Linked DNA regions of Stegostoma tigrinum. The protein of the gene in region 1 binds, or shares a complex with, the protein of each later gene. Links are inferred from orthologs where the notes say so. Each region holds a gene or a part of one and is shown on either strand. Other genes may lie near its edges. The genes, in order: transcription factor Dp-2-like, e2f6, e2f2 and lin52.

What was found.
Region 2: transcription factor Dp-2-like (region 1) and e2f6 share a complex: the UniProt entries of both Homo sapiens proteins name them as parts of the DRTF1/E2F transcription factor complex. The link is inferred for Stegostoma tigrinum from reciprocal best matches to the Homo sapiens genes TFDP2 and E2F6.
Region 3: transcription factor Dp-2-like (region 1) and e2f2 share a complex: the UniProt entries of both Homo sapiens proteins name them as parts of the DRTF1/E2F transcription factor complex. The link is inferred for Stegostoma tigrinum from reciprocal best matches to the Homo sapiens genes TFDP2 and E2F2.
Region 4: transcription factor Dp-2-like (region 1) and lin52 share a complex: the UniProt entries of both Homo sapiens proteins name them as parts of the DREAM complex. The link is inferred for Stegostoma tigrinum from reciprocal best matches to the Homo sapiens genes TFDP2 and LIN52.

Annotation. Positions count from the first base shown.
Region 1 is NC_081367.1:73,714,584-73,722,051, reverse strand, and holds the start of transcription factor Dp-2-like, read right to left. Parts: upstream 3,007-7,468; 5' UTR 2,205-3,006; intron 1-2,204. UniProt on the Homo sapiens protein: Can stimulate E2F-dependent transcription.
Region 2 is NC_081357.1:114,882,849-114,890,094, reverse strand, and holds the start of e2f6 (transcription factor E2F6), read right to left. Parts: upstream 3,019-7,246; 5' UTR 2,830-3,018; coding exon 2,784-2,829; intron 956-2,783; coding exon 751-955; intron 1-750. UniProt on the Homo sapiens protein: Inhibitor of E2F-dependent transcription. Binds DNA cooperatively with DP proteins through the E2 recognition site, 5'-TTTC[CG]CGC-3'. Has a preference for the 5'-TTTCCCGC-3' E2F recognition site.
Region 3 is NC_081377.1:29,050,825-29,058,064, forward strand, and holds the start of e2f2 (transcription factor E2F2), read right to left. Parts: upstream 3,015-7,240; 5' UTR 2,727-3,014; coding exon 2,481-2,726; intron 1-2,480. UniProt on the Homo sapiens protein: Transcription activator that binds DNA cooperatively with DP proteins through the E2 recognition site, 5'-TTTC[CG]CGC-3' found in the promoter region of a number of genes whose products are involved in cell cycle regulation or in DNA replication.
Region 4 is NC_081363.1:14,613,522-14,621,156, reverse strand, and holds the start of lin52 (protein lin-52 homolog), read right to left. Parts: upstream 3,012-7,635; 5' UTR 2,818-3,011; coding exon 2,760-2,817; intron 1-2,759. Other genes in the region: aldh6a1 (methylmalonate-semialdehyde dehydrogenase [acylating], mitochondrial), read left to right, coding at 3,254-3,289.

The DNA.
Region 1 (7,468 bases):
TAAGGATACTAGTGATAGTGGGTCATGTCTTTTTGTGGCTAGTTGATGTTCATGTATCCTGGTGGCTAGCTTTCTGCCTGTTTGTCCAATGTAGTGAACGTCATCTACAAAATACCTTGCAAGAACTGTGACAAACACTAAATTGGACAAACAGGCAGAAAGCTAGCCACCAGGATACATGAACATCAACTAGCCACAAAAAGACATGACCCCTCTGGGTCATTGTGAGCTTTATCCTTACACCTCCAATAATAAACATCTAGCCTTTTGTTTTAGAAAGTTAATCTCTGTGTTTTGTTTTCTCTTTTCCCCCTGAACAGAGGCAGGGTTGGGGGGCTGGTGTTGTTGGAGAGATGGAGTGCATGCGTGCGAGAGAGGGTCAGTGAGAGTTCTGAGGTATATAGAGGGACAAACATATGTATTTATTTATCACTGATTATGTCAGCAAATTATTGCATCTTTATTAAATACTTTTTAATGACAAATCAATAACTATTTATTAAAAAGCCTTGTTGATAGATCTTCTGTTTGAAAACTTAATAGACCTGAAATATTCAGTCATCTTAGTAACAGGAAAACTGGCTTGTATGTTATGCTGTGATCCATGGAGTAATGGGACTAGTTTCCAATACCAATCACTCCTGCCTTTACATGCTACATTTTCTCCTCATCCCCATGCATTGCATTTAAAATCATTTTCCTCAATTGTTAAATAAACTAGCAACATCGTCCACTTGTTTTGGGAAAGTTCCTATCAGCACAGACTCTGATTTTAATTCTAGCCTCCACTGCATGTACCACAGTCAAAGACAGGGCCTTCAGCCATCTATGCACTGTATTCAGGAACCCGCTACTGAAGTCTTTCACCTCAATGCACCTTTCTCAACCTTTCAGAAGACTCTCTCGTGCCTAAGTCTACCCTTTGGATCACCGTCTACCATTCTTCCCCTACCATGCTAAATTGCCCGTAGTGTTCAGGGGTGTGTGGGTTATAGGGGGATGGGTCTGGGTGGGATGCTCCAAGGGGCGATGTGGACTTGTTGGGCCGAAGGGCCTGTTTCCACAATGTAGGGAATCTAATCTAATCTAATCTAATATCCTCTACAGGTAGAAAGAGGACAGGAGGGTTAGGGTTTCAGCAACTTTGTTGTAGGAAAAAAGTAAAAGTGCCTGGCCTAATTTTGCCGACTTCATTCAGCTATTGCTCTTGTCCTGAAATACCAAAGGGAAAGTTTGAAATATCATTGCCACAATTATTGTTGTTACTAATGTCAAGACAATCTTGCTCTACTATCAGCCAAACTGCAAAAAAAATTCTGATGAAAAATGTCGACAAGCTTCTCTCTCTGCACAGATGCCGCTAGAGCATTTCCTCATTTTGTTTCCATTTCACAGTTCTAACATCTGAAGCATTTTGTTTATGCAGTGAAAAGGATTTCCTAATTTTAAAAAAAAGTTGAACTGCAGGTTTGGTGACTGAACCATGAAAAGTAGCATGAGAGTGAGGCTTTGCAAATGCAGTACTGATGCCTCAAACGACTGAATGTGCATTGAACGTGGAGAGTAGCAGCAAGATGCAGCTCAAATAATGTACCAGGAGGCAATGTAGCAAAAGACAGAAGTACAGAAAATAGGATCAGGCGCAGGCCATTCAGTCCTCTGAATCCACTCTGCTGTTCAATATGATAATGGCTGGCCCTCCAACTCAGTCCCTTTGCTCCCTTTCACCACAAGCTCTATATCTAACTCCTTTTTAAAAACATTCAACATTTTGGCCCGAACCACCTTCTGAGGCAGAGAATTCCACAGGCTCACCACTCTCTGGATGAAGAAATTTCTCCTCACCTTGATCGTAACTATTCTAACCCCAGATCCTTAGACTGTGATCTCTGAGTCTGGGCTCCCTGCTTGTGGGGAACATCCTTCCTGAATTCACCCTGTCTAGTCTTGTCAGAATTTTACAGGTTTCTATAAGATCCCCTGTCATTTCTCTAAACCACAGTGAATATATTCCTAACAGAATCCAATGTCACACCGTAGACGAAGGGTCCTGCCATCCCAGGAATCAGGTAAATGAAACAGGGATTGATAATCTTCTTTATTTATTCCAGGGCAGCGCCCTGCAGAGACGGAGTGGCCACAGCTTTGTTCTAATAAAAATTAAAGAGGAAAAAACGTAAAATTAAAGTGCTTTCGCCACTCACCATCCTTGGTGCCCGCTCCAACAAAGTGTCCCAGAAGCAAGCAGCTGCAGCCAGTTGTCACAGTCTGTCAGAGGGCCTGCTCTCTCCCTCAAACTCTGAGCAAACACCACACTCACACCTCACTCTCTGCAGTCACAGCTCACACTCACTCACCCCCCACACTCCTCTTCCACTCACTCCTCTCATTCACAGCTCACACTCACTCACTCACTCCTGTCTCACTCAGTCCTCTCTCACAGCTCACTCCCCTCTCACAGCTCACACTCACTCCTCTCACTCACATACTCCTCTCTCTCACTGACTTCTGTCTCACACTCACAACTCACACTCACTCACTCCTCTCACTCACACACTCCTGTCTCACACTCACAGCTCACACTAACTCATTCCTCTCTCACTCACTGCACACACTCTCTCACTCCTGTCTCACACTCACAGTTCAGACTCCTGTCTCACTCACAGCTCACACTCACTCACTCACAGCCTCCCACTCCTGTCTCACTCAGAGCTCACACTCACTCAGAGCTCACACTCTCCCACTCCTGTCTCACTCACAGCTCACACTCTCCCACTCCTGTCTCACTCACAGCTCACACTCACTCACTCACAGCCTCCCACTCCTGTCTCACTCACAGCTCACACTCACTCACAGCTCACACTCTCCCACTCCTGTCTCACTCACAGCACACACTCTCCCACTCCTGTCTCACGCACTCACGGCCTTCCTTGCTCCGGTGGGTGGGCTGAACCAAACAGATGAACACATCGAAGTCCCGCCTCGAACAGCGGAGAAAGTTATCTTCCTGACAGCGGCCTCATGGTCTAATTCGGGGGGGGGGGGGGGGGGAGAGAGAGAACGGACAAATAATCAGCACCAAATAACACCCGGCGGGCGGATTGGAGAGGGGTGGGGGAGGGAGGAGGAGGAGGGGTGGAGGTGGGGGAGGAGTGGAATGGGGGACGGAGGAGGGGAGGAATGGGGGGATTGGGGGTGGGGGAGAGTAGGGTGGGGGGGGAGAGTAGGGTGGGGGGGGGAGAGTAGGGTGGGGGGGGGGAGAGTAGGGTGGGGGGGGGAGAGTAGGGTGGGGGGGCAGAGTAGGGTGGGGGGGGCAGAGTAGGGTGGGGGGGGCAGAGTAGGGTGGGGGGGGCAGAGTAGGGTGGGGGGGGCAGAATAGAGGGGATGGGGGGGTGGAGTGTGGGGGCAGAATAGAGGGGATGGGGGGGTGGAGTGTGGGGACAGAATAGAGGGGATGGGGGGTGGAGTGGGGGGGCAGAATAGAGGGGATGGGGGGGTGGAGTGTGGGGACAGAATAGAGGGGATGGGGGGTGGAGTGGGGGGGCAGAATAGAGGGGATGGGGGTGGAGTGTGGGGGCAGAATAGAGGGGATGGGGGGTGGAGTGGGGGGGCAGAATAGAGGGGATGGGGGGTCGAGTAGGGGGACAGAATAGAGGGGATGGGGGGGTGGAGTGGGGGGGCAGAATAGAGGGGACGGGGGTGGAGTGGGGGAGGACAGAATAGAGGGGACGGGGGTGGAGTGGGGGGGTAGAATAGAGGGGACAGGGGTGGAGTGGGGGTACAGAATAGAGGGGATGGGGGAGTGGAGTGGGGGGGCAGAATAGAGGGGGAAGGGGGTGGAGAAGGCGGGTGAGGGGCAGAGTGGGGAGGGGGTGCAGAGCGAAGGCAGGAGAGGGAGTAGAGTTGGGGGGTTGGGGAGGCAGAGTGGGGGATGGTGGGTGCAAAGTGGGTGGGATGGGGATGGGGGCAGAGTGAGGAATGGAGTTGGGGGAGGGGTAGGAGTGGAGGGGTGCGGAGTGGCGGGGGAGGTGTAGCGGGACAGAGTGGGGGAGAGGGGCGGAGTATGGGGGAAGGGGATAGTGGAGGAGTTGCAGAAGAGTTTGGTGGGAGGGAGGGGTAGTAGGGGGGCGGGATATGGGTCGGGGAGTGGAGGGGCAGAGTAGCGGGTGGGTCGGAGTAGTGTGAAGTGGTGGGGAACAGAGTAAGAGGTGGGGATGCGGAGAGGTGGAGGGTGTGTGCAGAGTTGGGGGGAGTGGAGTACTTGGGAGGGGAGGGGGTGCGGAGTAAGGGTGGTGCGGAGTAGGGGGCAAGTGCAGGTGAGGGGGCGGAGTGGACTTGTGGCGTGGAGTGGGGATGGAGTGGAGTAGGGGGAGGGCGAGTGGGGGTGGGTCAGTGTAGTGTGGAGTGCGGGAGTGGAGTGGGGGCAGGGGGTGAGGCGTAGTTGGGGGGAGGGGTGGGGGAACGGGATAGGGCTACGGGAGTGGGGAGCAGAAGGTGGGAAAGGTAAGGGCTAGGAGAGGGTGGCCGGAGATGGGCGTAGGGCTCAGGGTCGTGGCGGAGAAGGGGGTGGACAACAGGAGGGACGGGTTTGGGTCAGGGTCACTGCTGTCGGATGGGGAAGGGCCAAGTGAACACAAGAACAGCCTGAACCCCCCCCCCCCACCACCACAGGGGTAACCCTACCCACAAGACAGATTCCACACTGCTCCCACCCTCGGAGGGGCTTAGCCTTGGGGCAGGGGCATCTGCCACCCGTATGGGGACATTGTACACCTCCAAGCAGTAAAGATGAGGTGGAGATTAAAGCTGAGCCAGGAATTTTTGGGGTCAGGGTGGCACAGAATCAGCTTCAAGAACCACAGGCATAAAATCAGAAAGCGTGCCCTTGGACTAAAAGCGTTAACTCTCACTTCTCAAAGCAATTTGGAAATTCTCCATTGATAATGGGAACTGCAGATGCCGGAGAATCCGAGATCCTAAGATGCTGCTTGGCCTGCTGTGTTCATCCAGCTCCACACTTCGTTATCTTGGAAACGCTCCATTATTTTGTTTTAATTTCCAATCTCCAACATCTGCAGGATTCTGCTATTGAAGATCCACCAGCTAAGTGGCAACAGTCACAGGATTCTAAGAAAAGTCACAGGGATTTGGAACTGCTCAGGGAGATCATCCAGAAATGGACCTGATGATGTACAAGTTGTGCCCAGTAACACTTGGACAATGGCACGGACATAGCTGTGATATAACTAAGGTATTTGTAATGATTACGACTGAGTTTTTTTTCCTTTACTCATTCACGAGATGAGGGCATCACTGGCCAGGCAGCATTTATTGCCCATCCCTAATTGCCCAGAGGGCAGTTCAGAGTCAACCACATTGCTGTGCGTCTGGAGTCACATGTAGGTCAGACCAGGTAAGGATGGCAGTTTCCTTCACTGAAGGACATTAGTGAATCAGATGGGTATTTCCAACAACTGACAACGGATTCACGGTCATCATTAGATTATTAATTCCAGATATTTATTGAATTCAAATTCCACAGTCTGCCATGGAATTTGAATTTATAATGTGTCACGACAAGTAGGACAGAGAAAAGAGAGAGGACGACACTTAGGACAGAAAATGATGGAGCACTGTTGGCCAAAAGGGAAGAATATTTTTCAGAAAACTAATGATAACTAATTATGAGCATTGGTACAGCAACAAAATCCTGGCATAGAATTGTTTGAGCAATTAATGGGGAAAAAAGAAGCACATTGAACAACAGAATTGAAACGTGCCCCTGGTAACTGCCTTAAACTATAACCCAGAACATAGACCATTTGGCCCGGCCCTCTGTTTGTTTTCTGCTTTGGCTTCAGTGAAAACAGGTAAATAGCTATCTTATAAGAGATAACAAAGTGTGGAGCTGGATGAACACAGCAGGCCCAGCAGCATCTCAGGAGCACAAAAGCTGACGTTTCGGGCATAGACCCTTCATCAGAGAGGGGGATGGGGTGAGGGTTCCGGAATAAATAGGGAGAGAGGGGGAGGCGGACCGAAGATGGAGAGAAAAGAAGATAGGTGAAGAGGAGATTATAGGTGGGGAGGTAGGGAGGGGATAGGTCAGTCCAGGGAAGACGGACAGGTCAAGGAGGTGGGATGAGGTTAGTAGGTAGGAAATGGAGGTGCAGCTTGGGGTGGGAGGAAGGGATGGGTGAGAGGAAGAACGGGTTAAGGAGGCGGGGACGGTTTTGGGATGCAGTGGGGGGAGGGGAGATTTTGAAGCTTGTGAAACCCACATTGATACCATTGGGCTGCAGGGTTCCCAAGCGGAATATGAGTTGCTGTTACTGCAACCTTCGGGTGGCATCATTGTGGTACTGCAGGAGGCCCAGGATGGACATGTCGTCTAAGGAATGGGAGGGGGAGGTAAAATGGTTCGCGACTGGGAGGTGCAGTTGTTTATTGCGAACTGAGCGGAGGTGTTCTGCAAATCAATCCCCAAGCCTCCGCTTGGTTTCCCCAATGTAGAGAAAGCCACACCGGGTACAGTGGATACAATATACTACATTGACAGATGTGCAGGTGAACATCTGCTTAATATGGAAAGTCATCTTGGGGCCTGGGATGGGGGTGAGGGAGGAGGTGTGGGGGAAGTGTAGCACTTCCTGCGGTTGCAGGGGAAGGTGCCGTGTGTGGTGGGGTTGGAGGGGAGTGTGGAGCGAACAAGGGAGTCACGGAGAGAGTGGTCTCTCCGGAAGGCAGACAAGGGTGGGGATGGAAAAATGTCTTGGGTGGTGGGGTCGGATTGTAAACGGTGGAAGTGTTGGACGATGATACGTTGTATCCGGAGGTTGGTGGGGTGGTATGTGAGAACGAGGGGGATCCTTTGGGGCCAGTTGTGGCGGGGGCGTGGTGTGAGGGATGTGTTGCGGGAAATGCAGGAGACACGATGAAGGGCGTTCTCGACCACTGCCGGTGGGAAGTTACGGTCCTTGAAGAACGCGGACATCTGGGATGTTTGGGAGTGGAATGCCTCATCCTGGGAGCAGATGCGGCGGAGGCGGAGGAATTGGGAATAGGGGATGGAATTTTTGCAGGAGGGTGGGTGGGTGGGAGGAGGTGTATTCTAGGTAGCTGTGGGAGTCAGTGGGATTGAAGTGAACATTAGTTTCTAGCTGGTTACCTGAGATGGAGACTGAGAGGTCCAGGAAGGTGAGGGATGTGTTGGAGATGGCCCAGGTGAACTTGAGGTCGGGGTGGAAGGGGTTGGTGAAGTGCTTTGGAACCCTGCAGCCCAATGGTATCAATGTGGACTTCACAAGCTTCAAAATCTCCCCCTCCCCACTGCATCCCAAAACCAGCCCAATTCGTCCCCTCCCCCCGCTGCATCACAAAACCAGCCCAGCTCGTCCCTGCCTCCCTAACCTGTGCTTCCTCTCACCTATCCTCTCCTCCCACCTCAAGCCACACCTCCATTCTCCAT
Region 2 (7,246 bases), on another chromosome or scaffold:
TGTAATATCCTGTTTAATACATTCCTGTTGTTTGCTGAAATCTGTCTCTTTACTTTTGTTGTCATACGATTATTACATTATTAACCTGATTACATAGTCATTATATGACTATTTCGATGCAGTTGCACTGCAATTCAACCTTCGAGCTGCAAACATGTTTTGTGAATATTTCATTTTGTTATTATAAGCAGCTGAAAGCTTGTCTAATGACAGAGCAACTAAATTTGAGAGGACAGAACTAGAGGAGTACAGACATCTTTGGATGGCTGGGCAGTGTAGGTGGTCACAGAGGTAACAAGGAACCAGGCTGTGGAGGGACTGGACTGGAAAATAAGAATTATTTTAAAGTAAAAAGGCAATACTTTAGTAATCTGTATTGCAGACATACAAATTAAGAATTCTAATGGATGGCCCAAATTACATTTTTGTGGACTTCAGCAGCAGTGGGTACAGGACAGAAAATGAAACTTGCATCTCACCAGCCTAGCCTGAATTCAAATCTGGATTCAGAGCATGCAAAAATATTTACAATACAATTTCACTGATAACTATGGGATTCCACTTGAAAGCTGCATTCACGTCAAAGTAAAAATAAATTCAATTTTCATCGAAAATTATTTTGAGAATCACATATCATGCTCTTGAGCCCACCTTTATAATGAACACAAAATCATGTAGAGATATGCCTGAATGAATACCAGTGAATTTTATAAAATAAATCAATTTACAGGAAGTGTAAAAATGACTTACATCCATTCAATTAAATTTTTTGATTTTTTTCTCACAAGACGAATCCCATCAAGTACATTGGTGATATCGTAAACCCTTCGCTTTCGCACCCCAAGCATCTTTGCAATATCATTCATGTCAAGGACGCCATCAGGTGCCTCCTTCACAAGTTCCATAAACTGTTGCGTTAGATGCACTAGGGACACATCAAAACGTGGCTTTTTTGCTGTTACAAAACAGGAAAACAACATTAACTTTCAATCTTAAAAACAGAAATGCTGGTATTATTGAAATAAAATTTGATAAAAATGCAACTGAAATGTGTAATGGATGTATGACTAATAGAAAAATAGAGAATTGTATTGTCAATTCTCATAAAACCTACTCCAAAAATGCCATTTAGAAATCGCATGTTAATATTGTGGAACTAAGATGTTTGTTTTATACATGTTTATTTTAGTAATTTTACACTTTGGCAGACAGTATAACAATTTGCAATTTTCATTTATTTCCTAACCCTAAATTTTAGCAAAGCAAAATGTCCCAAAGAGTGTCAAATGTATGTAGTTAAAGCAAATTTGATGAGTCACTTAAGGAAATATTAGGGCAGTTAACTAGAAGCTTGGTCAGAGAAACAGGTTTTATGGAGCATTTTAAGAGGACAGAGGCACTAAGGTTGAAAGGTTATGCCACAAAATTACAGGTTTACGTAGTCAAAAGTAATGTGACTGAAACCAGAAATGCACAAGCTATTAGAATCAGTGCAGTGAACGGATTTCAGAACTTTGTTCTGCGAGTAAGTACCAGGAACTATATGCTAAAATAAAACATTGTTGTGAAGGCAATAATCTAACCTAACACATGAACCACATGCAAAATTAGCCTAATAGATTAGAAACAAATGAGCAGATTGAGTTGGTGAACAGGTAATTAAAGGGTGTGGGAATCTATCACTTCACAGCGGCTTCCTGGGGCCATATATGTACTTGTGATGACAGCTTTAAGTCCTTTCGTATTTTGGTCTTCTAAAATAAAACAATCTGCATTGACACGGTAGAATGTATTCCATTTTCATGGGACACCTGCACTGGTACTGGGTCAGGAAATGAATGTGTGGTTTGGACAGGAATCAACATAAAAACCATCGCTTGGACTAAACAATGAAAGTGTAAATGATCATTTCAACAGTTTGTTACAACTTAACATTTAGGACATCCTTTCTCATCTACTGCCAAAAGTATATTGTATTGTGCTAAATGTGTTTCTGATAGGCCATTAAACAGTGCTGGAAATGACATATAAAGTTAGCAGCAGGCATTGTAATTTGTTTAGTGTGCATTCTAGAAAATAATTTGCATGCATGCAAATGAAATAAATTCAGGCATAAAATTCCTGACAATTAAGTTAAGTGGAATACATTACATTTTGACAACCTAGCAAATTTTTAAAACATCGTAAAGACCTGAGTCGAATTAAAACTAAGCCTCAAGTAAATCACAATTACTAGAGGTAATTGTTCTTAGTATAACTTCGAAGTGTAGTCCCAAGTCCAGGCCCAATACATTGCAGAAGACAAACGTCCAAACAAAATGTGTTATTTATTCATACATTCCTTTAGCCCATACCCTGACTTCCGTTTAATTCCCTTTGTAATGAATTTCAATGGAACCTAGTCTGGCCCAGATTCGAATACACGGTGGAGTAAACATTGGTAAACAGTGTCCTGCACACGTGCACGTGGATCCGTCTTTCTTTAAAAAAAACACGATTTGGATTTATTTAGTTTGGCAAGGGTGGATACTTTTTCGCGTGGGGGTGGGAAGAAACAGAAAAGGTTGTCCGGATGATCTCTAATGAAGCTGATCGAGGCCCTAGGAAGAAGCAGTGCCATCTTGATGCTGTGGAAGGACTGGGAGTGTTACATGTAAACACAGAGGGGACAGGAGGGTGTGCGTGTGTGTCAGAGAGAGAGAGAGACGGGGGGAACTTGGAGATAGACAAAGACAGTTAAACAGACAGATGAGAGCCTGGTGCCAGGGCTCAGTCAGACTCACTGGATCTGGGCGCTGAGGTTACCCGGGAGCTGCTCTCGTCCTCCATTGCTGGGGGCTAGGGGGGTGGCGCTGATGTTTGTTACTGTCTCACCCCCTTCCCCCACCCCTGGTACTGCCAATCCTACACGGAACTGCTCTGAGACGAAACCGCCTCGCTTCCCACCCGTCGCCTCCCTGCTCCTCTCCTGCTATTCCCCCGCCACACACAACAACACGCTGCCACGCAGGCCCAAAAGGCATCCCGGCGCATGCGCCAACCCGCCCACCGGCGGCATTCCGACGCATGCGCCAGCCGATAGCTGCCAGCTTTGCTCGCCTTTCCCGCCCGACCTACAAAACCCGCCTCCTCTATGAATATGGATGAGTAGAACGCGGGCCCTTGGCCGTGGCACCGCCTCCACAGATGAATGACGTGCCTACATCACACACAAGGCTTTGTGACGTTGGGTTGAAGTATCTTTTGAGCAGCAGCAGTATTCGCCGGGCGCGGTGGCGTGCGCCTGTAATCCGGCGACTCGGAGGCTGAGGCTATCGGATTGCTTGAGACCAGGAGTTCTGGGCTGCTGCGGACTATGCCGATCAGGTGTCCTCACTAAGTTGGGCATCGATATGGTGTCCCTGGAGGAATCCGGGTTCACCAGGTCGGGTAAAGAGGGGTGAATCGGCCCAGGTCGGAAACGGAGCAGGTCAAAACCCCCGTGCCCATCAGTAGTCGGATCGCGCCTGTGAATAGACGTTGCAGTGCAGCCTGGTTAACACAGTGAAACATAGTCTTTTCTCAAAACTGCTTTTGGCATTTTTCATTCTCTTCTTAAAATTATCATTATTATTACACTTCAGCTGCTCTAAATGCTGGCTCTAATTTAATTAATAGGAATGCATAAAAGGACCCTTAGAAAAGTGCACATCAAAGTCTAGGATTTAAACTCTGCTCCCATCTATATTTTCATCAACTCTGATAATACATTGAAACATAGTCTTTTCTTAAAATTACTTTTGGCATTTTTCATTCTCTTATTAAAATTATCATTACTTCAACACTTCAACTGCACTAAATATAGAGCTTATATTCAATATGATGCATAATAGGACCATTAGAAAATACACACCAAAGTCTAGGACTTAAACTCCATTCCCACCTGTATTTTCATTAGCTCTGATTTTTATTGCTCTAATTCACACTTTGTTGAATTGACAATTCCGAATGATCATAATAATTTTGTAACACGTGTAAAAGGATGGGTATTTCTGAATAAAATAACACATTTTTAGCCTGTTTAAACCTGTTTAAATGTTTCGACGTTACTGCTCTCTGCTGTTCTCTCGTTTTATTACAGCAGAAAAAGTTGCTCTTGGAGCTGTTATACTGGCAGTGATCTTCAGGGAGCGCTAACTTTACATTGCAGTCAGCTCAGAGGGGGCCAATCTGCAACTAATTAAGCATTTTAAATTTAGAGATCCGAATTGCATATTTAAAATCTCGTCTCCTTAAATAATAAATAATAAATTGTTAGAAAACAAAAAAAAAGAAATCAATAAAAACAAAAATGACTTGAAATCAAGCTGAATTAATCTTTTCTACAATCGAAGTCAAGCAATTCTATCTAGAACTAAATTATTACTAGCAAGTAAATAAAAGCTTGACATGGCCACGTGTCAGGACTGATATGTGGGAATTTGTGGGCAGTGGGATTCCTCTGTCACATCTGTATTGAGAGACTCCAGCAGAAATTCTGACAAGAGAGGAAGGGAGGTTCTGGCTAGTTTTCCATAGAGTGTAGCCACGTCTCAGAAAAGTGCCAGCCAGTAGAGTAAGGTGAACCTAGTTTAGATAGAAGAAGAGGAAGTCTTGCACAACAGATAAAATGTAAGATAATAAAGTGTGAAGCTGGACGAACACAGCAGGCCAAGCAGCATCTCAGGACCACAAAAGCTGACGTTTCGGGCCTAGACCTCTCCCCCCACTGCATCCCAAAACCAGCCCAGCCTGTCTCTGCCTCCCTAACCTGTTCTTCCTCTCACCCATCCCTTCCTCCCACCCCACGCCGCACCTCCATTTCCTACCTACTAACCTCATCCCACTTCCTTGACCTGTCCGTCTTCCCTGGACTCACCTATCCCCTCCCTACCTCCCCACCTATACTCTCCACTCCACCTATCTTCTTTTCTCTCCATCTTCGGTCCGCCTCCCCCTCTCTCCCTATTTATTCCAGATCCCTCTCCCCATCCCCCTCTCTGATGAAGGGTCGAGGCCCAAAACGTCAGCTTTTGTGCTCCTGAGAAGCTGCTTGGCCTGCTGTGTTCATCCAGCTTCACACTTTATTATCTTGGATTCTCCAGCATCTGCAGTTCCCATTATCTCAGAGAAAATGTAGTTGACACTGTGAGGCTAAAGTGAACATTGCTGGCAGGAATGTCCTAAACTAGGCACTGTAGAAGAGGATGCCATCCCAAGAGCAGAGGGTCAGAATAGAAATGAAGCAGTAATAAGGTATGCAATAATTAAGGGGTGGAGTGTATTCACTGTTAGGACTTAGATGATGAGGGATTTGTTACATGTATTGAAGAAAATTTTCTTTATTGATGTGTATGTACCTACTAGAGAAGGAGCAAAACATGACCTTCTGTTGGGAAATAAGGCAGAGCAAGTGACTGAAGTGTTACTAGGGGAGTACTTTGGGACCAGTGATCACAGTTTTAATTGTTTTCAAATAGTTATGGAAAAGGATTGGCCTTTTATAAAAATTAAAGTTATTAATTGGAATAAAGCAAATTTTGATGGTATGAGACAGGAATTTTCAAGAATTGATTCGAGTAGACTGTTCACAGGTAAAGGGATGACTGACAAATGGGAGGCTTTCAAAAGTGAGATAACAAGAATTCAGAGGCATTATTGTTTCAGAGATAGTAGGAACTGCAGATGCTGGGAGAATCTGAGATAATAAGAGAAGGGTCTATGGCCGAAACGTCAGCCTTCCTGCTCCTCTGATACTGCTTGGCTTGCTGTGTTCATCCATCTCTACACCTTGTTATTTCAGGGGCATTATGTTCCTTTCAGAGTGAAGAGTTAGGATGGTAAGAGTATGGAACCATGGATGATTAAAGATATTTGGCTCAAGTCATGTTTAGGAAGGCGTCATATATTAGATATAGACAATTGAGATCAAGTGAATCTCTAGAACAGTGTAAGGGTTGTAGGGGCATTCTTAAGAGGAAAATTAGGAGGGCATTAAGGGAATATGAGATAGCCTTGACAGATAAGGCTGAAGATAGTCCAAAGAGATTCTGCAAATAAATTCACAGCAAAAGAACAACAAGGGAGAGAAAAGGGCCCCTTTAAGATCAACAAGGTTGTCTATGCATGGAACCACAGGAGATGGAAGAGATACGAAACAAGTATTTATCATCAGTTTTTACTGTGGACAAGGAATTAGAGACCAGGAAACTCAGGAAAATAAATATTGATGTTTTGGATTTCAGCACAAGCAAGGGCAAGGGCTTCCATCTTAAACCAACTGAAAATAATGGATCTGAATATTGCTAAAGTGATGATTAACTAGGAACAGTGGAGGTCCAAAGAGACCTATATACACACATCAATAAATTAGGGTCAGCAAGGACAAAAAAATTCAAATGTTATATTTTAAAGCTAGAGCTGTAGGATATAAAAGAGCAAAAGTTGAACTGTATCTCTGCAAAGCCTTGGTTGGACCACATCTGGAGTACCATGTACAATTCTTAACGTCATACCTCGGAAAGAATTTAGCTTCAGAAAGACGTTTAAAATGAAGACTTTACAAAGAGTTAATAATGGGGAAACTTTTTCTAATGACTGAAGGCTTAACAATTAGAGGACACAGAATTGTGCAGATTCAGCAGTGTCTTGTCAGGGCTCCAAGGGTTAAATTATGAAGGATGCTTAGATAGACTAGACTTGTATTCCCAAGAATATATTAGGTCAAGGCAGTGAGTGCATTCATATTTTAATGATTTTGGAATGAATGAAGGACATAGACACAGAGAATCATTCCCCTTGGTGGGTAAGGACATAATCCCAAAATTGGAGCTGGGTATTCGCAAGAGAAATTAGAAAGCATTTCTACCTGGTAGGGTGTTAGAAATGTGGTATTTGATCCTTTATTAATAGTTAAATTGGAGATAATGGGTTTTTACCAGACAACAGTATAAAATGATATGGAGTCAAGTCAGGTGAACGGAATTCTGAAACTGATCCAAGTTGTTGAATGACCTACTAGTCTTTCTGTTTGGCAACAACAAACCAGGCTCTATTAGATTCAGAGATAATGGGAACTGCAGATGCTGGGGAACCCGAGATAACAAAGTGTGGAGCTGGATGAACACAGCAGGCCAAGCAGCATCTTAGGAGCACAAAAGCTGACATTTCGGGCCTAGACCCTTCGCCAGAGAGGGGGATGGGGAGAGGGAACTGGAATAAATAGGGA
Region 3 (7,240 bases), on another chromosome or scaffold:
GCTATGAAGACAGTGCCTATGGGCAGCTCAAGAGAACCCAGCTCCAGTGCCAGAAGACTAAATAACTTCTGCCTTCTACCTCAGTACGTACCACTTGACATCCCTCTGAGTGAGAGTTAGCACCGTAAGGTTGCCTCTACAGAGGATAGCAATACGAGGGTTGGCAACCAAGCAACTCCACTGGATGCCTCACGGGCCATCAATGTCTGTCACTTAATGCCAGCTACCAAGGCAGCATTGCATACCGTAGTACTACTGGCTCCCACACAACTGGGAGGGTTCATATGCAAAATAGTGAAGGAGTTACAACACTCAGCAGCTCACACACCATCAGCTCACTGACCTTCCATCACAACTTGATAACATGCACATCTGATTGTTTTCAGCAATGGCTTGTATGGAACAAGGGTACAAGCACAAAAGCTGGCCCCAGGGAGTCAAGCTTCATTTGACCGCCCCAATCAGGTTTGCTGGCATCAGGCAATCTGGCTGCCATGTGTGGGCAGGCTTGATGGATGGTCCAGTGTTCAACCCTAACATTGACTTGTTAACACTTAACAGACTGCACAAGGCCAAGACTTCTCTTGAGCCACTGAACATGGAGATGCTTCACCCTTCTCAAGTGTTTAACTACAAAAAGGTGGCAGATTGCATATGGCAGACTTATAGTGAGTTGAATGAGCAGGTCAGGCTTCACCCGTTAAACATTTGAGCAAAGTAACAGCTTGATTAAAAGGGAATCAAGTTGGTGAAGTTTATACATACTGTCCAGAGTACGGAGGGCACAGTCTACGCTGGCTGGCACTGGCTTGTGTGCTTTTCTGTGAATACACAAGAATATCTGCAAGTACATGATCTTGCCATTTTGGATAATGGGATTGGGCCTATTAATGCAATTCCAGTGGGTTAACAACAAACATGACATGCTAATGAGTACAGAAATGGTGCTCAATGAGGATTAGGAAACCTTACCCATCTGAAAGTTCCTCAGAAATTGATTGCAAAACCTTAACCTATCAAGAAACTGAATTTTTGCCTCCAATTAAATACCCCTGCCTAGCTTTCTGAAAGCTCCAGCGTGTCCTCAAAGACTCCCAATTGTTGATATCTTTGGTGTATAAATAAATATTTGGGGCAAAGATAAGAATCAGAGGACTAAATGGCATTCCCTGCTCTCTCTGTCAGAGGCAATGGAGCGAGCAGCTGAACAAGAACTCCAGCCCAAAAGGAGCAAGAGCAATGAATCAAAAGAGCAATGTTTATACAGCATGCAAGAGATGACAAATACACCTTGTAAATTAATTCCCCTGCATACTGGAAAACTAAACTTCTGCTACTAGAGTCCGTCCTCGGAAAAACAGTTCAGTCAATAAGAAACTCCTTCCCCATCCCCCACAAAAAAGTAGGCCACGACCAAAGTAAGTATTTAAAAACTGTGTTTTTGGGTACTGTAACATCATCTGTGCTTTACAAGCTCCCTGGTCCATGAGAAGAAACTTCGATGAGGTCAGTAATAAACAAGGTGCCACAGGTGAGCATTGTCTTGCGTTAATATTGCCTCATTCTCAAAAGATGCCGAGTGGGGCTTTTGAATAAATTCAAGAGGGGAGGGGTGGGTGCTATACAGAGACAAGATTAGATCTAAGTATTAAGCCACAGAAGATCAATATTTAAAAATTGAAACAGCCCTATTCCCACAAAGAAGAGGGTCAAAAAGAAAGTTCAGCAGCAACATTTCCCTGCAGTTTGAAATCATTACATTTTCATTTTTTACATTTTTCTGCTGGGGATTCTACTGTCAGTTCCATTTTTACCTTTGAACCCCAAGCTGCCTACACTATAGAATTGGCATTAAACATCCTTCCCCACCCTCCAGTAAAAATATTGAGGTTAAAGGCTTGGTGCCAATAAAGTGCCAAAGGCTGGTTACTTTCATTTTCATTTGAATTTCATACAAGGAAGCACCCTCCAAAAAGTTGACACCTCTTGATTGAAAAGATATTATATTGAGAATGTCCTCAACTTTAGAGCCAACCCAAGGCAAGCCCAGCAAAATTTCAGTGACAGTTTGATCACCTAAGAAAATTGTCAACGTGTTTTGATGATAAATCGGGAGGCTTGAGAAACTTTTAAATCGTCCTGAAATAAATGAAAAAATTAAGGCAGCCTAGAGTTACAGTAAACAGCCATCTGAGCATTTTCTCTATCACAATAGATCCAGTTACACAGCAAAAAGCGAAACCTGTCTTCACACTCCACATGCCCCCCACCCCCACCCCCATCCCACAAACGCATACACAAAAGTAGGGTTAATTTATCAATGCTGCATTTTTGTAAAACATGTTACTAAGAGCTAAGTAAATTTCCCTGAATGATTATTAATGCAGTGTCCTGATAACTGCAGGAACTGAGCAAAATACACCAAGTATAAACGCGCGATTATTTCAAAATGAATGTATAAATTATAAAATTACACTTACCGGCAGGCGCCCTGTGCTAGTCCTTATTGTTCTAACTTCAGGTCCTTGAGGGGTTGCATACAGGCAATCACTGTGATCAGAATATACTGCTCCTGCAATTTGGGTGAAATAACTGGCAGGGATGGTGGGGATCTGGGGGCTACATAGCCCGGTATTCCCATTTTCCACATTGATTAGCTTTTTCTGGGAACCAGTCACTGCCCCAATAATTCCCCTGCCTGGGGCTGGGGAAACTCCCTTTGGCATTTTTGGCAAGGCTGCAATCTTTCCCCCACTCTCCCCCTTTTGTTTGCAACGAGAGAGAGAGAGAGGGGCAAAACAAAATGGTTAACTTCAAACCGGGATTTGAACACAAAATAAAAGACAGAGTCAACAAATGCAGGCATATAAATGATTAGCAGAGTCCCGAGATTAAACTGCACGGGGTCTCACAGCTAACGTTGCTTTGGATGCAGCAGGATGCAATGGATTGTAAAAGGTCCCCTCTGATTCAGAGGGGAAAAATGGCTGCAGAAACTGTACTAGCTCCTGAATGCAGCCTAATTCACAGACTCTGAAACTCAGCCTCTGGCGCCAAAGCCTGTGCCGCGAAATTCATATTTCCCGCCATCTGTTGCAAATACCCGTCGCTGATTGGTGGTTAACTGACCAGGATACATGCAACGGTAGCCAATCACAGCGCTCAAACTGGTTTCTTAAAGCGACAGGAGTAGCACAGACTTTTTAAAAAGCCTGACTCCAGCTGAGGCTTGCACAGCATCCTGACTGTTTTAATACTTCGCAGCCGTGAGAGAGTGAGTCTGTGTAAAGACACAATTAATGATGGTTTCATGAAAACAATTTATATTTCTTTTCCTTGCATTACATTGCCTTTATTAAGCTGCATTGCCACCTACATTATTTGGCATGATGTTCTCTTTCTCTGCCTGGTCGTGCAGAAGACCGTTGTTACACCTGTCTTTATTGGATCAGAGCATTGAGTATAGGAGTTGGGAAGTCATGTTGCAGTTGTAAAGGGTATTGTTGGGGCACTTTTGGAATACTACATTCAAATTCTGGTCTCCCTGCTATAAGAAAGATGTTGTTAAACTTGAAAGGGTGAAGATAAGAGTTATAAGGATGTTGCGAGGCTTGGAAGGTTTCAGTTATAGGGAGAGGTTGAATAGGCAGGGCTATTTTCCCTGAAGGGGCGGAGGCTGAGGGAATGACCTTATGGAGGTTTATAAAATAATGAGGGGCATGGATAGGGTGACTGGCCAAGGACCTTTTTTCCCCAGGGTAGGGGAGCCCGAAATGAGAGGACATAGGTTTAAGGTGAGAGGGAAAGATTTAAAATGGACCCAAGGGGCAACTTGTTCGTGCAGAGGGTGATGCATGAATGACTGTGGGAGGAATGTGCTGTGAGAGGAAGTGATGGAGGCTGGTACAATTCCAACATTTGAAAGGCATCTGGATGGGTATGTGAATAGGAAAGGTTTAGAGGGATATGAGCACAATGCTAGCATTTGGGACTGGCTTAATTTAGGATATGTGTTCAGCATGGCAAGTTGGACCGAAAGCCGTTTCTGTGCTGTGTGATTGTCGGATTCTATGATCCACTCCCAAAATGCAGTTTGCTGTTTAAGTGACACAGCAGTGAGTTATCTAACCACACAAGACTGAGAGTTAAAAACTCATCTGGAGACTTGAGTGTGTAATCCAGACCATTATTCCCACTGGGGAACTGTAGGAGTCCTGCACTGTTCAAGGTGCTTCCTTTTGAATGCAATGTTCAATTGATTCAGCCTCTTTCCTGTCAAGGACTGTTCATCATTGTCTTAAGGAGGAACAGGGGAGATCATCCCAGGGTCCTGATCAGTACTCCATCCTCAACAAACATCATTATAATGTAGAATATCTGGTTTTGACCACATTGTGGGATCTTGTTATGCACAGGTTGGCTACTGCATTCTTCTTTATTCGACCCTGTGATGTGGGCACCGCTGGCTAGGCCAACATTCATTGTCCATTGTTAATTGCCCTGAAAAAGGTAGTGGCGAGCTACCTCCTCAAACTGATGTGATTCTATTTTATCGAAAATTTGGCCATTAGATATTGCATGGTGTCCTGAGGTTGGGAAAGGCGCTATATGAATGCAAGGTCATTTTTTTCAAAAAAATGCAAACTGCTATTGCTAATCTTGCACCCTTTCAGCATGCAGTGTCAACACACAAAAGCACTTTCAATGACATGGTGTTTGGATAATGAGCAGCGACAGGGAGCTGGCTGATTTACCTTTGCCTTAACCCAGAGGAATTGTGGCCAATTGTAACTTTCCCAAAGCCATTGCAGCCGAGATCAGCGGTGTCCCAGGGGGAACCCCAACCCAAGTCTTTGTCGGATTCAGGAAGAGTTCAAGCAATAGAAGGCTGTTGATGTAGGAACAAACTGCAATTGTGCCTTGGTGTTGGAAACTGAAGAAAGAAAACACCTTTTCACATTGGGAGGAAACCATGAACAAAGAGGAGAGGAATAAGTGAGTAGAAACAGATGAACAAAAGGACTCGAGAGAACAGGAGAGACAGAGAGAGTGGCAAACTAAGTGTGAGAGAGAGAGAAAGCAGGGAAAATGGAAAGGAAACTGGACCTCAAAACTAACTTCATAATAATCAGAGTAATGTTAACAATCATGTTTTAACTGTTTGGAAGCATGAGGAAACTTACTTTTGCCCATCCATTACAGCGTGAGGTCTCAGAGGTCACTGTCACTCAAACATTGCAGAAATGGTTGTAAAAATATCTATTTCTCGACACCTGCTACCCGTCCCCAGCCACAAATTTTTTCCAGTTTCACTCCACTCGGTAAGTGCAGTCTAAGTGCAATTCATTTGTCTCTAATGAAGAGATGAGTACCAAAGGAAGTGAATCACTTTGCCCAGAATCATTAAAAAAAACGCTGAACTTTTTTAAGTAACTAGGGAGCAGAGAAATACTTCCTCCATCAGTATGTCACACATCATACTGGCAGAACAGAATCTGCACATGGCTTGGTGAAGAAATTGTTGTGAGGTGGAGTTTCCTGAGATTACAGCCATTTCCAAAACCATGCGCTTAGTTCATCCATCTGCCTGTGGTGGGAATACAGGGTGAATGAAGCAGGTCAGAAGAGAACTGATTTGTTTAAGTATAGGTAAGTGTGAGGTAGTGAACATTAATAAACGGGTAAAATTAGAGTCAAAATGAGAGGAGCAAGGAGCTCTAGGGATATAGATGCACACATCACTAAAAATAACAATGCAGGTTAATGAGGCCAGAGCACTGAGATTAATTTCTAGAGGGATAGAATTGATTGGAAAGATATTGTGTTATTTTAAACTTGTGTACAACTTAGATTAGACCTCTGTTGGAGTACTGTGCATAGTTCTGACCTTTATAGGTAAACACTCCAAATCTAGCTACCCCAAAACCAGCATTTTCTGAAGTGCAGGCTTTTTTTAAAATTGATTTTTTTTCTCAATTTAACCAGTTGTACTGACATAGCGAAGCGGGAAAGCATGAAAGAGATATTAAATCCGATGCATGAGAGGTGAATTAATATCACCAGGCACATGATATTAACTTAGTGCTTGGCAGTCATATCAGTTGGTTTCCCTTCAGGCTGTACTTACCATATTAAAGTGTTCCAATCTGAACTAGTGAATTCCAGTTTATCATCTCTCTGAAGACTGCCATGTTCCAAAGACTGGCACAGATTGAGTCCCAAGGTTGCTAAATTTGGGAGTGTGTACCGGTATTATGAAAAGGCTCTGAAGTCACCAGAGAATGCGGAAAAATTATTTCCAAGGCTGACTTAAGAACTCTGTTCACATAATTACAAGAAAAAGTTGGGCTTATTTTACCAGAGTAAGCAGACAGCTGAAGATTGACCTGATAGAAGTCTTTAAAATTAGAAGTAGGGTTTGGTGGGATAATTATAAATGTATGCATCCTATATGGGGAGGTGGTATTAATGCTAGACTGTTAATTCAGAGACCGAAGCAATATTTTGGGGAGCTAGACTTGAATCTCGCCATTGTTGATGGCGGAATTTGAATTCAACAAAAATCTAGAATTAAGAGTCTAATGATAACCATGAAACATTGTTGATTGCCAGGAAAAAAAAAACCCATCAGGCTCTCTAATGTCCTTCCTTTAGGGAAGGAAACTGCCATCCTTACCTAGTCTGGACTCTATGTGACTCCAGACCCACAGCAATGTGGTTGACTGCTACCTGCCCTCTGGAATTCGGGAGTAACTACTTTACTCTGAGAGAATATGGAGTACCAGGTGAAGTAATTGTGACAAACTGCCCTGATGCATTAAAGTGGAACTAGATAAGGGAGAAAGCTGTATAACAACACATGGATAATGGATGAGGTAGAATCTCATGTGGAGTCTAAACATTGGCATAGGTTGGTTGCATGGTCTGCATCTACATGGTAAAGTTCTACATTAAAAAAAACTAAAGCATCGTTCATTTCGTTATTGTTTGGAATCTTGCTGTCTGCAAAAGTGGCTGCATAAGATTAATAACTACATAACAAAGTGACTAATTAAAGTACTTTGACAATTTTTTGAACAAACGCAAATCCTCCCTAGTGGGAGCAGTGTTGTCCTGGTAACATAATTTTTTTATCTTTTTACCAAGCCTCTGGAAACATAGACGGATAATAACAAGTTTAATGATCCACTAAAAAATGTTGCCAACTGCATTTGTGACAAAACCTTTTATATTTAAATTA
Region 4 (7,635 bases), on another chromosome or scaffold:
TGAATTAAACCTAAATTTAAATCTAGTTTTACCCAGTCCTGTACTAATTGTAATAAGTTTAACCAGTTGGATATCATAGAAATAACACAGTGAGGAGCTAGGAACACAACAGGCCAGGCAGCATTTAAGCAGGAAAGTTGACGTTTCCGGTCGGAGCCCTTCTTCAGAAATGGGGGAGGGGGAAGGGAGCTCTGAAATAAATAGAGAGGGGAAGGATGGGGCTGGGGAAGGTGGGTGGGACGGTGATAGGCGAGTACAGGTTGGCAGTGGAGGGGAATGGTCAGTGAGCTGGGACAAGTGGATAGGTAAGAGAGAAGATGGACAGGTTTGTTAGGTCAAGGAGGCAGGGATGAGAGGGTCGGTTGGTCATGGAACATGGGAAGATTTGAAACTACGATTATGTAGGTAAATTTGTAATCATAACAGACAAGCTTCTGCTTGGTCTACTTAAACAGGACAAGGCAGTGCCACCCATAACTTCAAGCCAAATTCAGCAGCAACCTCTAATACTAAATGCATATAATTTCAAGTTGGAACACTTTCCTGGAGGCCAAGTAGCAAATGCCAGTGCATTGAGCTGCCTCCACTGGCAGATACACCACACTGGTACCATCAGAAGAGTCCACATGTTTTCAAATTTTCTGGACACACTTGCATTCACAGTTGACAATATTAGACTTTGACTCAAATATCCAGTCCCGACAAAACTGAAACAGCTGATAGTGATGGGGGAAGCCAAAGGGCCATCACAACCAAATCTGAAACATTTTTGGACCGAGGGAGACCAGATCACAGTAGCTGACAACATATTATTTGGGGAGTAAGTGTGATTGTCCAAAGCAAAGGCCACCGCCAGACACCAGCTGAACTCCACTGGGTATTCCAAAGAGAAGATGTTAGCAAGAAGTAACATTGTTCTGAAGAAGTGTCACTGGACCTGAAACATTAACTTTGATATCTCTTCAAACATGCTGAGCTTTTAAAGCAATTTCTGTTTTTGTTTCTGATTTCTAGCATCTGTAATTCTTTTGGTTTTTATTGGAAAGTAGCATCTTTTGGCCAAGATTGCATGCAGACGTGGCTGCATTGGTGGGCAAGTGCAGAGTGTGCCAACAAAGATGAAAATTACCATTAATAGCACCCCCACATTCGTGGGAAGGCCCTGGTAAACCCTGGAATTAGTTACACGTCAACTATGCAGGTTCTTTCATGGGTTTGACATTCTTAGCTGTTGTGGACACCCACTCAAAGTGGCTGCATGACCACAAAGTTCATTTGTCAAACATGCGGATGATGGTAGAAAGACACAGACTGCTGGAAGTATTGGTCACAGATAACAAGCCATCATTTTCCAGTAGGCAACTTGGATATTTCCCAAAAGTCAACTGGTATTTTTCATACAAGGACAGCTCCATACCATCCATCAAATGACGTGCCATAAACAGCTGTGCAAATTTTGAAGGCAGACTGAAAGAAACAACCACAGCATCACTCGATACCAAACTATCCCAATTCCTATTTGATTATAGGTCCACCCATCATGTAATCACAGGGATAGTTCCAGCAGAGTTGCATATGGGAAGACGACTCTGTTTAAATCTTATCTTCACAGATCTAGGGGAAAGAGGGTGAAACAGCATCAAAAATGCCAATGCCGGACTCAAGACCGTACTAAGTGAGAAAGACAATTTACTTTAGTCGATAAAGGAATGGTCCTAAAAGGCACAGTCTACCAGTGTTCAGGTCCAGTGGCGTATACAGTTCAGGTAGGTATGATGGGCCTCAACAAGCACATGGACCAAATTAAAGCTGCAAACTTGCAAACAGTGCAGGAGCAAAACATGTCCAGTTCCTTGACTGCCTTTCCGATTGTTCCAGAACATAAGGGTTCACCCTCTCCATCAAGCGTTGAAGATATTGTAGAATCTGAGATGGATGCAGCAGATGTGATCACATTGACACCACAGTCACCTCAAGAGAATGAATTTCTTCCAAGTCAAACTGGGCACAAGTGGCGTGCAACCGTGCATTACATACCACCCATATTCAAGGCAGAATTGGAGAAATCTGAGCTGGTGAGCTACAATAAAAGAAACACACCAGCCTATATTCTCAGACTCAGAGGGAGAGAGATGTAATGATTGTAACAAAGTCAGCCAGTTGGACCTCAAAGAATATGAATTCCCTGACTAGGGATGTTAATCTGTTCCAAAGAGGGATCCCTGGTTGACAGATAAAACAGAAGTGTTTGACATCCTGTTCAGAGAGCTGGCTCTGAGTTAGTGTCAAGGACTTTCCTCACCTAAATAATTTAAAGGGTGACTGAGTGACAGGATACTAGCCCCTATGGAGCTATTCCAACTTTCCAATCTCTCACCTAAACATCTCGGCCGGTAGATGCAACTCAGGGTAAGCAGGATTGCGGTGGCCACCCGCCAAAATCTTAAAAGGAGGAAAGAGAATAATTAAAAGAAAACAAACAGCTGCGCACGCTGGAGATCAGAAAGAAAATTAAGGAAACGCTGGAGAAACAGCGCAGGTCTGTGGGAAGAAAACTCTCCCTGACTTGAAACGTTAACTCTGCTTTCTTCCCACAGATACTGCCGAAGAAAAACCATTACAGCGTAAATAAAAGACCATAATTTTTCTTTTCTGTTCGAATTGTCCCGGTTCTGAGAGGATGAAGCAGCCAAATAGCAAAGTCGAGTGCCCCGTGCCTAGAAGCACTCTCTCTGTCACACAAGCAAATTAGAATTTACCCGCACTCGGCGACGCCATCTTCCCCAGACCGTCACATGACCCACTCGGCGACGCCATCTTCCCGAACCGTCACATGACCCACTTGCAGCCCGTCCCCAGGACAGAACAAACACTAGCGAATTATATCCTTTCGAACAGAATAGTCGTTTCCGATTTCAAAAGCGCCATTTAGGGGGTGTAGACTTAATTAAAACGAACTGCGGGCAAAAATTTAGCGCCGCGACCGTTAACCGTCGGGAATCTCGCGTGATTATTGGGTGGGAGGGCGGGGCGCGTTATCTGACTGACGTCCGCATTGGCCGATGGGGATCGGGAGGGTTTGGCGTGTCACGTGGTCTGGCGTCGCGCCAATTGACGTTAGGGTTGCGGACTGCGTGGGGTCTTACGGTTTCAGTCGCGGTCTCCGCCCTCCGAAGTGAGTGGTTATTGGGCAGGCGATAGGTGAGGGCAACGGAGCGGGAGAGGTGTGTTTGGGTCCGTTTTCGGCTTCGTAATGGCAGCAGCCCTCAGGGTCACTTTCAGGCGAAAGGTAAACCGACAGGAATCACGGTGTGATTCGTGTGGGGGCGGTGGAAGACGCGCAACAAAACAGAGCTTGTGTGTTGCTGTGCAGAATGTCTTAATTCCATACCCGTCGAGATCGCTTCTCGCGACCGTTTTTATTTTAACCCGAGAGGCGAAGAAGTCCCGAAAATCTTATGCGCCTTGTCTTCATTTCGCTAACGGGCGCACGTTAGTGTCCAGCAGTTTGTATTCCCAGTCCCTTATCGTCTCCTCGTCCTTTCCACGTGGTGAAAAGCCAACTTGTTCTATTTATATATTTTGCAGTTGTCGTTTTATTTCACGCTGTATTGTCGTTTTCTGCATTTTTTTGCATCTGTTCGATGCCACCCATGTATTCCCTCCTTTGCCTTCTTGCAAGGGATGAAATTATTTACGTGGATTGAGCTTTTAAACGCGTTGTAGACACTTGGCAACCGTACATGCCTCACTTTCTCGTGACGACTTTGTTATTGTGCTGTTGACTTCGTTAAACTTCAGAATATTAAACGCAGTAAGGCTGCATTCATTCGTTGCCTCCCCGATATAAAGCGTTAATGATCTGACTTAAAAAGCAGAATTTTTGGAGAAACTCAGTGGGTCTGGCAGCATCTGTGAGAAGAAAGGAGAGTTAACGTTCAGAGTCCGGGGATTCCTCTTCAATGAGATAACAGGGTGTAGAGCTGGATGAACACACAAATCTTTTCTGAAGGGTCTAGACCCGAAACGTCAGCTTTCCTGCTCCTGTGCTGTTTGACCTGCTGTGTTAATCCAGCTTTACAACTTGTTATCTCAGATTTTCCAGCATCTGCAGTTCCGGCCATCTCCTCTTCAATGCCCTGACTTTCGGACCTTTACATTTTTCTTTCATAGAACATTGATTGTAACATTGCGTACTGAAGTTTTTTTGTTTACTGATGTAACTCGTCTGAGGATTGTAAGATGTCAAAGCTAACTAGTTTCCTAATTCAGTTGATCAGTGCCCACCAGTACACTTGAATGACTTTCTTCTCTCGTGGTTTGCATTAGGGTTGTCTGAGAGAAAAGCAGACAATGCCTTTTCATATAGTAGGAGTAAATTACTGCAGATGCTGAAATCTATACTCAATCAGCCTTTTTTCTCTCTTCAATGCTAGTTGATATCTTTACTCAGCATTTAGAAGCCTGTGGGTCAGCTTTAGTGGGTGGTTTCCAGAGCTCCCTTGTTATTGGTTCAAACGTGCTGGAAAGGGTTGTCCTTAGTTTTCTGCCCTACAGCATTGTTTTGTTTTTTTTCTCACTTATTACATTCTCTGTGGGATAGTTCAGGAATCACACATCTTCAAATATTGTAAGTGAGAAGGCTTAATCAAAGTTTTTTTTGAGATGGGATGGATTTTTTTTTAATTTGTCAGGTTTTGTTAATTGTATGTAATAGTAATCATTTTAAGGACCAGTCATTTACACCTTTCCACATTGGCATCTTGTGTTTTTTCTCATCAGTTGTGGAAACCTTCAGTTTCAATTTCCAACTGTATTATCGCACTCTTTATTTGTCCTCTGTCAAAATGTCTGATAGGCTTTCACTGGATGTGAGTGTCATTGGTTGGGCCAACATTTATTGACCATCCGTAGTTGCCCTCAAATGTGGTAGTGAGCTGCCTTGTTGGTGACTTGGGAACTTAGAAATGTTGGAATTTCCATAGTCTTTTGCTCATGTCCTTACATGTGGTTGGGTTATTGGCTTTGGAAGGTGCTGTCAAAGGAGTCTTGGGGTGAATTTCTGCAGTGAATCCTCTAAATGATGCAAACTGTCAGTGGAGGGCCAAAGAATGTGGCTAGGACACTACCCAACAAATTCCTGTACAGATGACTTGGAGCTGAAATGGCACTGATGTTTCTGTAATCGTATTTCATTGATCTGCCTTCTTGACAGCGGTGTCAATTGACTTCATTATCAGTTCTCCACTTCAGGGCTTGCCTCCAAATCTTTATTGTCCAGCTTTTGTAGTCTTTAACCTTGCTTGACTTTCAGACTTGTGCCTGATTTGTCCTATGCTTGCTTTAAATGATGTTATCTCAATCACCCTTACAATACCTTTTAAGTTAGGTCAAAGATCTGAACACTGAAAATATATTTAGTTGCTAAAGCATTTTGCTGTTGCTTTCAAACAATTACGCAGCATGGAAATGTCTGCTCATCTCATGTGGTCTGTATTCCTGTCTGCCTCCTTGATTTAATTCTGTTCCAAATCTTTCTATTCCTTTCTCCCTCATCCAGTTATTAGCCTCCCTTTAAATGTATCAAAGCTCTTCACATCATCAATTCCACATGTTATGGGCAAAGACATTTTCCTGAACCAGTTGGATTTATGAGTAACTATTCCTTTTCTCTTTCCCCTTTCATGGGATGTAAAATTGCTGGAAGGGTCAGCGTTTGATGAACGTTTGAAGGCTGATGCAGATTGATCCTTGATAGACAAACGTGTGTGTGCCTGCATGCGTTGTGTGTGCATTTTTTATATGAGCAGGCTTGAGGGACTAAATGGCCTGCTGCTGTTCCTTATTGGTGATAATGGGAACTGCAGATGCTGGAGAATCCAAGATAATGAAATGTGAGGCTGAATGAACACAGCAGGCCCAGCAGCATCTCAGGAGCACAAAAGCTGACATTTCGGGCCTAGACCCTTCATCAGAGAGGGGGATGGGGTGAGGGCTCTGGAATAAATAGGGAGAGGGGGGGGAGGTGGACCGAAGATGGAGAGGAGAGTATAGGTGGGGAGGTAGGGAGGGGATAGGTCAGTCCAGGGAAGACGGACAGGTCAAGGAGGTGGGATGAGGTTAGTAGGTAGGAGATGGAGCTGCGGCTTGGGGTGGGAGGAAGGGATGGGTGAGAGGAAGAACAGCTTAGGGAGGCAGAGACAGGTTGGACTGGTTTTGGGATGCAGTGGGTGGAGGGGAAGAGCTGGACTGGTTGTGTGGTGCAGTGGGGGGAGGGGACGAACTGGGCTGGTTTTGGGATGCAGTGGGGGAAGGGGGGATTTTGAAGCTGGTGAAGTCCACATTGATACCATTGGGCTGCAGGGTTCCCAAGCGGAATATGAGTTGCTGTTCCTGCAACCTTCGGGTGGCGTCATTGTGGCACTGCAGGAGGTCCAGGATGGACATGTCATCTAAAGAATGGGAGGGGGAGTGGAAATGGTTTGCGACTGGGAGGTGCAGTTGTTTATTGCGAACTGAGCGGAGGTGTTCTGCAAAGCGGTCCCCAAGCCTCCGCTTGGTTTCCCCAATGTAGAGGAAGCCACACCGGGTACAGTGGATGCAGTATACCACATTGGCAGATGTGCAGGTGAACCTCTGCTTAATGCGGAAGGTCATCTTGGGGCCTGGGATAGGGGTGAGGGAGGAGTTGTGGGGGCAAGTGTAGCATTTCCTGCGGTTCCTCCGACACTTCCGCCATCTACAATCCGACCCCACCACCCAAGACGTTTTTCCATCCCCACCCCTCTCTGCTTTCCAGAGAGACCACTCTCTCCGTGACTCCCTCGTTCGCTCCACACTGCCCTCCAACCCCACCACACCCGGCACCTTCCCCTGCAACCGCAGGAAATGCTACACTTGCCCCCACACCACCTCCCTCACCCCTATCCCAGGCCCCAAGATGACTTTCCACATTAAGCAGAGGTTCACCTGCACATCTGCCAATGTGGTATACTGCATCCACTGTACCCAGTGTGGTTACCTCTACGTTGGGGAAACCAAGCGGAGGTTTGGGGACGCTTTGCAGAACACCTCTGCTCAGTTCGCAATAAACAACTGCACCTCCCAGTCGCAAAAGATTTCCACTCCCCCTCCCATTCTTTAGATGACATGTCCATCATGGGCCTCCTGCAGTGACACAATGATGCCACCCGAAGGTTGCAGGAACAGCAACTCATATTCCGCCTGGGAACCCTGCAGCCTAATGGTATCAATGTTGACTTCACCAGCTTCAAAATCCCCTCTTCCCCCACCGTATCCCAAAACCAGCCCAGCTCTTCCCCTCCACCCACTGCATCCCAAAACCAGTCCAACCTGTCTCTGCCTCCCTAAGCTGTTCTTCCTCTCACCCATCCCTTCCCAAGCTGCACCTCCAACTCTTACCTACTAACCTTATCCCACCTCCTTGACCTGTCCGTCTTCCCTGGACTGACCTATCCCCTCCCTACCTCCCCACATATACTCTCCTCTCCACCTATCTTCTTTTCTCTCCATCTTCGGTCCGCCTCCCCCTCTCTCCCTATTTATTCCAGAACCCTCACCCCATCCCCCTCTCTGATGAAGGGTCTAGGCCCGAAATGTCAGCTTTTGTGCTCC